3 linked regions of the Lepisosteus oculatus genome follow. The protein of the gene in region 1 interacts with the protein of each later gene in a pairwise test. Links are inferred from orthologs where the notes say so. Each region holds a gene or a part of one and is shown on either strand. Other genes may lie near its edges. The genes, in order: uba3, impa2 and cpne2.

Region 1 (4,425 bases):
AATGTACAAGAAGCATTTTAATACGTGCATTTCGCAGTTCAGGAAGTCATTCTAAAACATTTGTGCTCCCAGATGAAATATTTCATGAACAGAAGCATCAAGGAGAAAACAATCATCATGAAAAAAATTCAAAGCGTTCAAAGCTCCCTGCATTTTTTCACCCTAAGAACAATGCAAAGCATTTGACTGCCCATTGAAACACACAAGATCTTAACTTCACACCAGTTTACACTGATCTAAAGTTTTTTTTAAAAAAAAGAATCAGCATCATACCAGATTTTTAAGAAGTTCACATCCAAGCCCTCCAGCTCCAATGACTAGTATCTTGCATGTGTCCAATAAAAACTGGAGTGACTATAGTTAAAACACAAAACCAGAAAAGAGTTACTATGAATACGCACACAAATGGCATACAGAACTAAAAAGAACAGGTGACAATATGTACCTGACCATAATTAAAAGAGTAAAAATGTATTTTAAAACTGAAAATGGAAATATCACTTTTAAGTGTTGATTTCTTTTAACTTTACCATGTTAAACATGTTACATTGTAAAACAGAAGTAGAGTCTGAAATAAAGACCACAATGTGTACTGGATTTTTACTATTTTATTAGTAAATTAAATGGCTGCTTTTCAACTGATATCAACTATATGATCAATTGGTACCGAGTTAGCAAACATTTTTGTATTAAATTCATGGCATCGTATTTATAATACAGTATGAAGCCATTTGTAGAATTTATGTGTATAGGTGGAACTAAAACTATGTGATGGAAATCATGCAAAACTGTCAACTGCATTTTCTAAGAAATGTAATTCAAAACATTCAACATTTTAAAGCTTGTGGGGGTTCGTTTGCTGTGCTTTCCTTTCCCCCCCAGTACAAAACACAACTGGAGAAAGTGGAGTTGTCTCACGTCAGTGCTTGGTTCAAAATCGGGGTGTGTAAATGGTCCTGAGCGCTCGAGAAACTTCTTGACATGGCTCCAGCGACCTGCCCAGTCTCCATTGTCCCCACACCCACCATCCACAGCCATTCTGCACAGAACACAAGGAACTCAGCTACAAACATCAGTTGGAAAACAACTTGCGTGTCTGCTGTGCTCACAATGCCTGTAGTTTGAAAACACAATACCAAAGTTGGCAGCGTGTGCAAAGACTTTAACTTACAGGCTAACTGGTATTGTTAGCTTTTGAGTACGCAGTACATTGTTGGTCAAACATCTAAACTTGTACCTTTATTTGTACTATTGTACCATTTTTTTAATACTTCAAATGTCAATGTAGGTATATCATAAATAAAAATATATATTATCCTTTCAGACACAAATAACTTCAGAATATGTAGCTTTAAGTACCTACATACATTGACCAATCGCACAGTAACCACACCTAAGGTACATTTTTTTTTTGGCAAAATACAACAGAGGTTGTAATAAGATGGTATTTGACCATAATTACGCTTGTTTAACTTATTTATTATGTATAAAGTCTGTTTAAGACATTACTGTTACCAAGAGGAAACTAAATTTGCCAGAAGAACGTTTATCAATAAATAGGGTTAAGAATCTTTTTAATTAATAGAAATAATTATCTGTCTGGTACGTTTTGATTAATTCTCCAGATATATTACTGGTTGACATGCTATTCACAATAACAACTGTTGGGGTGTAACAGTTACTATTCCAGCCTAAACATCGTTATCACAATCCTGATAAAACAAGCACGTTATGTTTAATATATTCCCTTTTGAAAGTTTACAAAACAATGTAACCAAACAACACAATTAGAAATCGGTAGAGGCCTGTATTACAGCTATTGTATAATTTTAATTTATATGCAATGTTTCTATAAAAGAATGGAGTTAATTAAATAGCAGTCGAAATAAGAAACGAGCGCAACATTAAGATGTGAAAATTCCTTATGAACACGTTATTAAAAACATGTAACTAGTTACTATAAGCGTGACTATAAACTGCGATACATTTGAGCAGCCTGAGGCCTTACTATAATCGACTGTAAATTTTAGAATATTTCAATTTTCCGTCCTTTTATAGACAAAACATTAATGTGTCAGTCAACGAATGGAAAAAAGAATTTTCACATTAATGCTCTACTACTCCGTGCGCTGTGTAACCTCAAACCTGCTGGCAGTTTATATATTTTTAGCATTTCAGTACTAACTTCTCAGTCTGCTCTTCTACTCTCCTTCTTTTCTTCTCCCTAAAAAGAGAGAATAAAAGAAGGTTCAATCGTGTTCTCTTTTTTTCAGCAGGTAATACATGAGATTATGAGCACTAATTTGCAGATCTCTCTGTCCTCTCCTTTCACGGATACTTACGGTTCCTCCACATCCGCCATATTTCCTGCTCCGTCTCCTCCCACAATGCCGCGGTGGTTAGGAGCTGCAGCTGTTTGAGGGAGGGAGATTTGAAACAGCACAATGGAAAGATTTTTCAAGCCAATTCAAGCCAACAGTCCAGCCCCAACCAACCAGTTCAAGATTTATACGGCATCAGAAAGATTTTTGTTGCTGGCAATGTTCGCGTCACCCCGATCATACGTGACATAAAACGTTCTGTGAACATTTTAGAGACGCCAGTCAACCTAGACAGCTTTTTTTGGAAGGTGACAGGAAAGCAACCCACTTGGAAAAATAAAAGTATGAGAACAACCAAACTCCACACAAAAGTCACTCCAGTGTGGAATAAAACCCAGAAGATCTAGCAACCACACCTTGTCTTACCCTGCCTTTCCTTACAATGTACAGTATATGAAAACATCTGAGATCACCTTAAATAAAAGAAGAAATCTAAGATACAGAACTCTTGAGATACTTACTGTTATTGCCCCAGATGGAAAATTTGCTTCATGGTCTGGTAAAAAACAACAAGGTACAGTAATACAACATGAATTCATAAATAAATAAGAAAATATATATATAAGTAAAATAAAATATACAATCAATTGTCCAAATTAAGCAAGTTATTAGCCATTGGATTAAAAGATAATGTAGTTCTATTGCATTTGAGTCTAAATCAGTCCCCAGATGGAAGGAGCTCAAATTCACTATACAAGGGGTAGTAATGACAGTCCATGATAGACACACTATTTGTCTGATGTAGATGTCTGCAGTGCCGCATTTCGCACAAGGCACTGTAGGCACAGTACCTGGGGCCTATAATCTTTTTAGTGCCTACGAAGGTGGAAAACACTAGTGACTAATGAAAAATGAGCTGAAACAATATGCTTGTGATCGACTCTACGTGCTCCCAATCAATAATCTTACGCTATCTAGCGGCTGTTCTAGAAACTAGAAGTATCGAGTGATGGTCGCTCAACTCGCTCCATCAATCACGTGGTTTAGCATTAGAATAGTTTAAAGTGCATCATGTAAATCAACGTAATTCAATTGGCATATACTCCTCTTTTTGCACATTTCGGCGTGAAAGTGCCTAGAGCCTACAAACAACAAAATCCGTCCCTGGTTGTCTGACAGCTGTAGCTGTCATCCACCAATTATGTTGTTGGCTACCTTAGCTACACTGTCCTGCTCAGTCTGATTTTATTGTGTTTATTAAGGTTACCAAATCAATCTACCACAGAGAACAGGGCAAATTCAATGAAAGTTCCTTGGGATAAAGTGATAGTTGTAGCACCCAAATTAATAGAGTGGAGTCTTCTTACATATGGCATGTGTTTTTCTCAAAGGTTAGTTTGTAATTAACACTAGTGCCAAGATAAGAGTAATATATGACTATTCAGTTTCAGACCTTCGATAACTTTTGGTTTCGCAGCTGGTGGTTGTTTTCTTAATCAATGATCATGCCTTTGGTTTTTGATACATTAAGTTGAAGACAGGAGTTGTTACACCAGTCAACAAAATACTCCATTTCAGGCCCATGTCTAGGAGCAGACTTAAACACCTGTTTTTTTCTCAAAAGACCTACAGCAGTCAGTATGCAGAATGTACAGGATGGGCAATAGCACAGAACATAGCAACTTTGATAAAAGACCATTTACCCTAATTCTTTGTGATCTTTACTTTTTAATTCCGGGTAACGTAAACGTCTGCTTCATTAATGCAGTTTTCAGTACACTGTCTAAAACCCACCGCCAGTTTAAATATTTTGCATTATTATTATTATTATTATTATTATTATTATTATTATTATTATTATTATTACAGAGAAGCTGGGCATCTTGTATCTTCTGGATGAGATGCACAGGTTTGTTTATCGCGAGAACCAGACAACCCTGCCCACTCAGCCCCGTGACGTTAGCGCACCAGCTGATGCTCGCTCCAGCCCAGAAGCCTGCAAGCCACCGCCGCTGCGATCATGGCTGGGATGGAGCTCGCACCGCTCAGACCCTGGGACGACTTTCTTCCCGGTTCAGATCGCTTTGCAAAACCTGACGTGGGT
Region 2 (4,425 bases), on another chromosome or scaffold:
AAGTGTTCCAACGTGACCTGCAAGCACAGTCAACAAGTAGTATCTGTCGGCAAAACTGTCTCGAAGTGGAGAGCAATATCTCTAAAGGAGCTGTATTCACAAGCCTGCTCGTTTACATTGAAGTAAGGCCGCCTCACTTCACCAGTGGATTTGCTGCCTCGTTCTGAATCACATAATATAACGCAGAGCTTACCTGGACATTCAGTCTACTCTGTGGGGGAGGTGTGGAGGTTTTACAGTGTGTGTCACTTCAATTCCAGCTGTGGTACTGATGCAAGAAACACAAGGACGAGCTGTCGTGGCATGTTGTGGCCGCAGGACTGCCACACTCCTCTGCTCCCCTGCGCGTGTGAGCGTGCGCTGCCGTGCGCGGTGCAACACCTACCTGTGGGAAGGGTACCTGTCCCTGAGAGTGGAGATAATGAGCTCCTCCACCTGCTGGTCCGTCTCGGTCACCAGGTCCACAGCCGAGCTCTTCGTCGTCACGCACTTGTCAAGCTTCACCGCCTCCCGGATCACCTGGAACCAGAACAGGCACCAGAACGTCACTAAAGCCTCACTTCCAGTAGGAGCGCTCCCGGAAAATCAAACACAGTAAACCTCATTTAAGAATGACTGAAAACTCTACTTTTTCCTAAATCAAGTCTTCCTAAAAAACGTCTTAATCTCCGAGGAAACAAAACGTTCAGTTTTAATTAATAAAAAAAATCTTCAGTTTATAACTAGTTTCATACACGTAGAAAGAGGCTTAATTAAACCAGGACTGCACGGCTGACACCGGACAGCAGCCATCAAGCACTATAGAGACCCATTACCCAGCATCGGTGGAGAAGTGAGTAATACCGTCAAAAAAATGCTGGATTAATGAGGAACTTTATGTAGGCCGGATTGAAAAAGCCCAAAGTGGAATTTAGCTGGGAAACCAAACTTAACACCCAGTTACTTACTCATATTAATAACCACGTAATCAGGAGATTCGTTTAAATTTCCATCCAAAGGACATTCTGGTCCAGAAGGAAGAGCTCCATCTACTCATCCACCAAAACCACCAAAAAAAAAACCACCTAATTTTCCTGAGGTTCTCCATCCTGATATCTCCTTACTTAGCTTGTGGTATCTGAGCAGATCAGGCTACAAGTTGGTAAAGCGAGAGCACAGCGATTTACTAGATCAAGTTTTCATCAGCGATTTGGAAAGCAATCTAGAAAGAAAATATCATACCTGAAATCTACAACATAGCCATATTGCGTTATGCACGGCATAATTTAACAGAATTCACGGTTAAAATACACATTTCCGATCACAAAGTCACAATGAAAAGACGTCAGGAAATGACCTCATTGTTTCATATGATGGACACAGGCATCTATCAGAATGAATACCGAATTGAGCCGTCCACTGGTCATTAATTATGCCCATATGACTTGCTATGGGAAGAGGGGACACGGTCTAAAATGAATATACAGTAGTTTAAAATGCAATATGAAATGGAACCCTGCGGTCCCACTCCAGCAAAAGTCACTGTGCTGCATCCTTGCACAATTTCCGAGCCCAGCTTAGCCAGCTCACAGCTTTGTCATCTGGGAAACGGAACCACACGGGCAATCAGCAGTCCCAGTCACACTCCTAATACACAACAAGTGCTCCCCACTCCAGTCGATTCAATTATTCAGTCTGGAATAATTTACCAAATGGGTTTCATCTCTGGCAGTATAGCGAAATAAAAACACACACACACACAACGGAAGCCATTAATTTTAACCCCTCGTCATCTTCACTTCCACGATCTCCTGCAATTGCCTGTATGTATGAACAAAGCTCCCCCGGTTTATTACAGGATCAATTTTACTCTTCGCGTTTCTGTAACACAATATAATTATTAAGATGCAAGACCGGCTAGCTACCTTATGGTACAGGACACCACATTTTTTTCGAATTACGTTCTTTGACACAGTATCTAAGTATGACTTGTAACAAATATCTAGTGGTGTACACAAAATGGACCACACAAAACAATTGTTGCCACGCATGACTGGTGTTTTGGGCTAAAGTTTCGAAAACTGCGCTGATCATTGCATCATTCTAAATGATCAAAAAGCACGCCAACGCATTTTTGATCCCGGGGAAGGTACCCTACAATAATATTAAATACATACTCTGGGATAGTACCGCTGGAATACACACAACTCAAATGTAGGTAAATATGTATTTAGTGTTCCTCGATGCATCCTAGAGATAACCAAGCTCTGAAAAGGACTGTACCTGACCAGCTCTACGCGCTGTTTGAACAGCAAACTCCATGCATTCCTCCCAGTGCCTGTTGTTCTCCGCTGAAGTCATGATTCCCTGCCAATAATATGGAGATATTTCCAGACTTTAAATACGTTCCGATTCAAGCAGTATTTCCCCCTTCGAGGCGATCAAAACATCACAGCACAACCCGCGGTTTTTTGTTTTTTTTCCTGGTCTAGGTTGATCGCTGCTGACTTCCCCCGTTATGTGAAGAGACCGCCCCCAAACCTTGGCTACTCAGTTTCCAGTAATGTGCTCCAGCTACACACCGATCTGCATCTCGGCACCTACGGCCTGTATTGGAGTAAAAACAGAAAGGCGAGCAGCAGTACCGCCGATCAACGTCAGCTTCACATTAATGAATGCCGAGATTTAGAAACGGGTCTGGGGAAACATAACATAATCACTCTGAAATGAAGGTACGCAGCAGGCTTGACCTTCTTAGTTTGTCACATGACAGAAATCGGAGCTGCGCAGCTACAAATTTATGTAATGGGTATTTATTAAACCATGTAATGTCCAAATCAATGTTTACATTTTAATCCTGCATCAACACACTTTTTTTTTGCATTTAAATCCAGTAATCCTTTTTTTTTAAAAAAAAATGACTTCACGAAATAAAGCGTAGTAATACTGCCTGTTTATTTCAATTCAATACGTTGCTAAGCAAAAACAAAAATCCCAATAAAATGAGTGAAACAAATACCATAAGAAGGTGAATCAGTAGTGTTGTGTCATATCATTTTTGAATTACCAATAATTACACATTTTTTGTATGTTCGAAATTTATAGATAAGATCGATGAAGTAGTTTGGTATTGTGTTTGATAAAACTCGCATACAGGAAATTGAAGTACCTCACACTTTAAAAAAAAGCTGATGGAGCCCCAGGACATAATGTTTACATATTTCTGTTAAAACGTAATTAAATCAAATGCAATTTTAAACATTGAGTTAATCTGTAAAATGATCTGAATGTTTTAAGTAACATTTTCTACCTGACCTAAAAAGCAGAGAAGTTGTATTGCATGTAAACATGGAACCACAGTACTAGTTAGGGAATCTATATTAACTCAGCAAAATAATATAAAATATAAATACATTCTGTATAAGAGAAAATTATTTCAAACAGGTAGATTATAAGGTGGCACAGTGGTCTGCTTTAGTGCTTTACAGCACTGGGTTCGATTCTGGAGCTGGGGTGCTGTCTGCCAAGGGTTTCTTCCCACAGTCTGAGGACATGCTGGTAGGTTAGTTGACTTCTGGGAAAACTGGCCCTAGTCTGAGTGTGTGCCCTGTGTTGGACTGGTGTCTCCTCCAGGGTATATCCTGCCTTGCGCCTGGTGCCTTTTGGGATAGGCTCCGGCTCCCCCCGTGATCCTGTATAGGATGAGGATGGCGGGATGATTGGAGTCGAGGCGTGATTTGAATTGGCGAGCTCACACGAGTGTTACTCTCTTGGCTGAGGAAAAACGACAGCCTGTCTGTGCAGGACGAAGCTGTCAGCTGCCCCGAGGAGGTGATCTTTGAAAGCTGAAGGGGAGATTCGAACCTTTGGTCCTGAAAACGCTTGGGTCTCACACAATGAAAGGCACCAGGGAGTAAGCAAGAAATCAGATATGTACGTGGGTGAGACTAGGGTTAGACCTCACTCCTGACCTCTATTATAAACTCCCACTGACAATGTGCTTCACGCGTACTGATAGTGTAGTTTCTACACTGTGATTCAAAGTGTACACTTGACCAGAACCGTGTTCCTGGCTTTGTTCCAGGAAGATAATTAGTTTTGTGCATGTGAAATGTTTAGCAGCAGCAAACATTTTGTCATGAATGAAAACTAATGAGCTTAATCTAATCAAAATCACAACCACAGCAACACTAAAAACATGAATTTTAGTCTTTTGTTAAAAAATCCTAATAGATGGACAAGATAACTTAATATACTGTACATACTGTATAAAAGCTACAGCTAACAAAATGACATGTCATCTCCAGGAGAGGGCTCCAGCTTCAACCAAATCGCTTGGATTAATGTGTATGTCATGAAAATGTTTTAGCAGAGGAATATTTTAGAGCTGAAAAATTAAAAGATGATGTACAGTAACTTAACAAACCTATCCTCAACAATATTTTA
Region 3 (4,425 bases), on another chromosome or scaffold:
GTAATACAGCCCCTGAAAAAAGATGACAGATTATCTTTAAAGCTAAAGGCCACTCTTGAAAAAGGACAAAACCTTCATGCTGGTCAATTCATGTGTACATTAAGAATTCAGAATTATTTTACGCCTTATTCCATCCACAGTGTAATGCGGTACAAGACTGGACGTGATTCTGCTCTAGAAAACCTGTTCTGTTGCTGAAAAGCCTCGTCTTTGCACCAGGAGGAGCAGTCCAGCCCAGAGTGATGCAATCAGGCAGGCTCAGTCTCCGCCACGCCCAGAAGACCAGTGAACACTAACAGCGCACGCACACACGCACGCACAAACCCATGTTTTCAAAGTGTTATGCCATCTGATTGCAACAGTCTGAGCCTGTGCTGAAAATAGCTCCACACCACATCAATGACTGACTGCAACAGAGCCCAGGTGCAAGGCAAGGGAACACACCCACTCGCCACAAGCCGAACTTTGAGCCTCTGCCCACTGCATATCCAGCTAGAAAGACACGAAGACAGCAGCACCAGATAAACACTTAGCTTTTAGTCAATGATCAAACCATCAAGCGCAAGAGAGGCAAATGAGATAAAATGAAAATCTAACAGCTCAACCCCCCAGGTCCATCCTCGGGGGTGTTTTTCTTCAGAGCCTGACCTGCGGTGTAGAAAAAGCACCACCTGGGCACACGGGGCTCCTGTGGAGAAAGAGCTCCTGACACACTCCGCCACAAACACCTCTTCGTGCGGCAAGTGCATTCTTTCCTGCTTTCTCTTCCTTTTACTCTTGCAAAATAGAACAGCAATTACAAAAGGCACTGAAATGTACGTTTGCTTAGGTACAGGAGAATTTCTGTTCAGATTATTAAACAAAACAGGTGAATGTTAGACCCCTTAGCATCCTGTATTTTCAGGGCTGCTCTCTATATATCAAAGCACTTTTCACAGACAAGCTGTTAATAACAACCATCTGAACTACATCCTCTAAACCTCAGCCAGTCTAATATAGCTCTCGCTCCTGTGTGGGTTTAGAGACTTGTTTCTGACATTTTGCTTTGCGGCGAGAAGCAGCGAGAAAGCACTTACTGAGCCCACAGTTTAAAAAGTCAGCAGTGGTTTCTGGCTCTCTCCAAACAGCAGAACAGAAAAGCATTCACCAGATTAAGAATTAGGGCACCGATTATCCTCTCCAAGGCATGAAGAATTCACCCTTCAGGAGTTTAACTAATCAGAAGAAGAATAATTAACATGTTATCACATATGATGCAACCAGCAGCGTCTGTCCAAAAACAGACAAACAAGTTAACTAAATAAATGTACTGATCATTAGAAACAACAGATATCAGCGAATGGACACCCATCTAGCCTGTTTGATAGTCAGTAGCTAATTGAGCTGAGGCTCTCATCCAATGATTTTTCATAGGAACCCAGGATATTGGATTCACACTACTGCTAGGCATCTTGTTCCACACTCCCACCACCCCTTGTGTAAAGTAGTGCCTCCTGTCCTGACTGGAGGAGCTTATCCAGCCACATCTTGAAAGAAGCCAGGGTATCGGCTTCATCAACACGGCGGGACATCTTGTTCCAGACCCCCACAAAGAGCTGCCTCCACGAAGAAGAGACCTGAAATACTGTCAGGGGCACGGTGGAGGTGTGGGGGAGAGTTATGTTCCTGATCTGATCCGTCGAGATGCCCCAGTAACCTCTTCATTACAACTCTACCACTTTCAGACTACGGTACTGCAGACCGCCTGACAAAGCGATCTCACAGCTCACTGCCCCGATCAGAACTGCCTGCTGGAGAAGTTAAAACACCTGGGACTTGGGAATCCTGTCCGGAAACCTCCAGGCAGAGCAGGGCTGTTCAGCACACCGATCTCCCTCAGTCCCTATTAGGAGCAAGTTTCTCTGTACTATCCAACAGGAGAGAGAAAAACAGCTGCTGTCTGAGCTCACACTCAACTCTTTCAAGACCTTAGTACTCGCTATCTCAGACTTACAGAAATAAGCTAACCATCTCTTTTCAGCATGGAATAAACCTAGTACTTGTTCCTTTAAGGCTAAGGATGTTCACGTTTCTTTTTCAGCATGCCTAGCCAACAGTAACATACACAACTTTATTCAGTCACAACATTTATTTCAAGATACAATCCCTGGTGTTTCAGCAAAGCAATGAACTGCTCTTAAACAAATACGTAGCTATACTTCCGTTTTTACAACACTCCTTCTACCACTGAAGGCATCTACCAGGTTAAAGTGGTAAAGACTGAGTGATCATGTTCCTGGAGAGGCCAAATCACTGAAGATCAGATCTATTTTGTTACACTTTTTATGTCCCTGCAGATATTTCCAGTGACAGGCAAAGAATATCCTGCTCAATTCCCGAAGCAAGGACAGGGTTCTGTGAAACTGCAGGAGACTCACCCCTTATTCCAAAGCATTCTTTCAATCCGAACAGCATATGCATCATGAGATCCACACTCCAGCAGGCAGACCTCGGTGAATCCACAGGAGACACGCACTGTTTCTGCCAAACTCCACTGCTCTACTATATATAACCCTGTCTTAAGTAGCACCTTTGGTATAATAGCTACATCCTACATGATACAGTCTCCAGTTAGAGACTGTGACGTGATGGAAAACTCAATCCAGACACAACAACGGTATAATCTCCAAAACCATAAAGTGCTCAATGGAAACTCTGCCTCGCACAATCTCATCGTGTAAACACTACTTACCTGGCTACTGAAATCCCTTTTACCTCCGTTTTAATTACTGGTTGCACCTTAAGTGGTGCATTATCATGTGGTTGGTTAAACGGAAATAGAACAGTGTCAGGTTCATTCTGGGGAGGTGAAGAGGTGTGTGTGTTGGGGGGGGGGGGGGGGGGGTGTTTGCTGGGGCTTGAGGAGTGCCGGCTGCACCCCAGATCTCAGTACACGGGGGACAAGCTCCTAGACTCCCCGAGGGAAACACTGGCACTTGTTCCTAGAACAAGTCCTAAATTTCAGAGACGAGGATCAACGAAACACCTGGTGCCGCCTGGTATCACCATGCCACATGGAGCCCAGCCTGTTCACACTCGCACACAGTGAAGAGTGCAGCGCTGAGCTCACATCCTTCTCTCGGCCTCCACTGTTGAGCCATGCTGAGGCCCTTCTTGTCAGCTGCACAGCTTGGAATCTGCCGCGCGAGATCAAACGACAGGCTACGCTTCTAAAAACGAGTATCCAAATATTCTGGTTTCGTGCTTTGTGTTGATGAACTAGAGATCCATCGGGAACTGGACTTCCTGTTGTCTGAGTCTCCCCTGTGGATCCATGTACTTGCTGTATGAGCCACACTGGGTTTTGCTCGGGTAGATGTGCTGCAGACTGCTGGCGAGTGCTGTGTGGTCAGTAGGGAAGAAGGGAAACACTGTGCTATTACAGGCCATGCAGGGTGAGAAGACATCAGGCTCCCTTGATCTTGCTTTACAAGATGACTGAAGTGCCTAGTCAGTGACTGGAATTACGCAGTAACACTGCTAATTCACCAGAGAAGAGCTGTAAAAAGCCATTACCTAAAAATGGAATCACACGAGTCTGAAAACACAACCCTTTCTGGAGTGCTACTCTAATGGTCAGCTGACATACCGCAAGGCGCACTTAGGAACAACAATTAAGAAAAACCTCCAGTGGTTTATCTGAAGAGCTCTTGGTCTCCTCCTGGTAAAATCCTCTCTATGTTCAATGCCTCCTCCGGGAATGGTCCCGCTGAGCCACTGAGCCAGTATCTCTCGCAGGGAGAAAATCATACAGCAACAGAGCTCATGCATCTCGGCGTAATGGGTTGAGCTGCGATGCAGCAGCAGTCTTATTGTTATCTCTGTGTGTAAAATGCATCCCAATTTAATTTGAAAGCAGTCCCACGTCACTAAAAAAGAATTATGTGCAGTATTGGATGAGCAAAATAATCTTTATTGATTGCGGGCCCAAGGCCATTAGCATCAAACACTGTACCATTCACAGGAGATGAAACAGGCATCTCCTGAGACACTATTACAGGCCCAGAGAGACTCAAAAACTTTAAGACGCAGACGAAATTGCCAGTGAGATGATGTACAGCCAAGAGGCACGAGGGAGGGTAGAACTGGCTCTAAGCTGTCCTCTCCTGCCTGTCTTTGTACATCGACTCCCTCCACTGCCGAGCACAAGCCAGCTTCTCTCTCTTAGGGGCTCACTTGGGCCCCATCTTGTCTGAATAAAGGATCCACCTGTTTTCTTAATTATCTCCCATTGCGGCTGCAGGATTATTAAGCACACGTTACCGAGCTCCCAAAACGGAGTTTCTGTCAGTCGAAGCTGGAATAGAAAAGGCCTCATTGACAGAGAGCGGGATTCTCAGGGCTTCGCTTTTTGTCTCACTGAACACCAGACAAAGCAGCACCTGG

Evidence for each region.
Region 2: the proteins of uba3 (region 1) and impa2 interact in binary tests that used the Homo sapiens proteins (3 or more experiments, as listed by UniProt). The two-hybrid records come from large-scale screens. The link is inferred for Lepisosteus oculatus from reciprocal best matches to the Homo sapiens genes UBA3 and IMPA2.
Region 3: the proteins of uba3 (region 1) and cpne2 interact in binary tests that used the Homo sapiens proteins (3 or more experiments, as listed by UniProt). The two-hybrid records come from large-scale screens. The link is inferred for Lepisosteus oculatus from reciprocal best matches to the Homo sapiens genes UBA3 and CPNE2.

What each region holds. Positions count from the first base shown.
Region 1 is NC_090699.1:50,388,326-50,392,750, forward strand, and holds the start of uba3 (NEDD8-activating enzyme E1 catalytic subunit), read right to left. Parts: upstream 2,397-4,425; 5' UTR 2,363-2,396; coding exon 2,343-2,362; intron 2,225-2,342; coding exon 2,186-2,224; intron 1,040-2,185; coding exon 919-1,039; intron 355-918; coding exon 274-354; intron 1-273. Other genes in the region: arl6ip5a (ADP-ribosylation factor-like 6 interacting protein 5a), read left to right, coding at 4,342-4,425. UniProt on the Homo sapiens protein: Catalytic subunit of the dimeric UBA3-NAE1 E1 enzyme. E1 activates NEDD8 by first adenylating its C-terminal glycine residue with ATP, thereafter linking this residue to the side chain of the catalytic cysteine, yielding a NEDD8-UBA3 thioester and free AMP.
Region 2 is NC_090701.1:57,181,998-57,186,422, reverse strand, and holds the start of impa2 (inositol monophosphatase 2), read right to left. Parts: upstream 2,711-4,425; 5' UTR 2,625-2,710; exon of another isoform or gene 2,562-2,624; intron 2,347-2,561; 5' UTR 2,341-2,346; coding exon 2,263-2,340; intron 520-2,262; coding exon 386-519; intron 1-385. UniProt on the Homo sapiens protein: Phosphatase that can use myo-inositol monophosphates, myo-inositol 1,4-diphosphate, scyllo-inositol-1,4-diphosphate, glucose-1-phosphate, beta-glycerophosphate and 2'-AMP as substrates in vitro.
Region 3 is NC_090715.1:1,261,571-1,265,995, reverse strand, and holds the start of cpne2 (copine-2), read right to left. Parts: upstream 2,515-4,425; 5' UTR 2,464-2,514; coding exon 2,418-2,463; intron 208-2,417; exon of another isoform or gene 73-207; intron 1-72.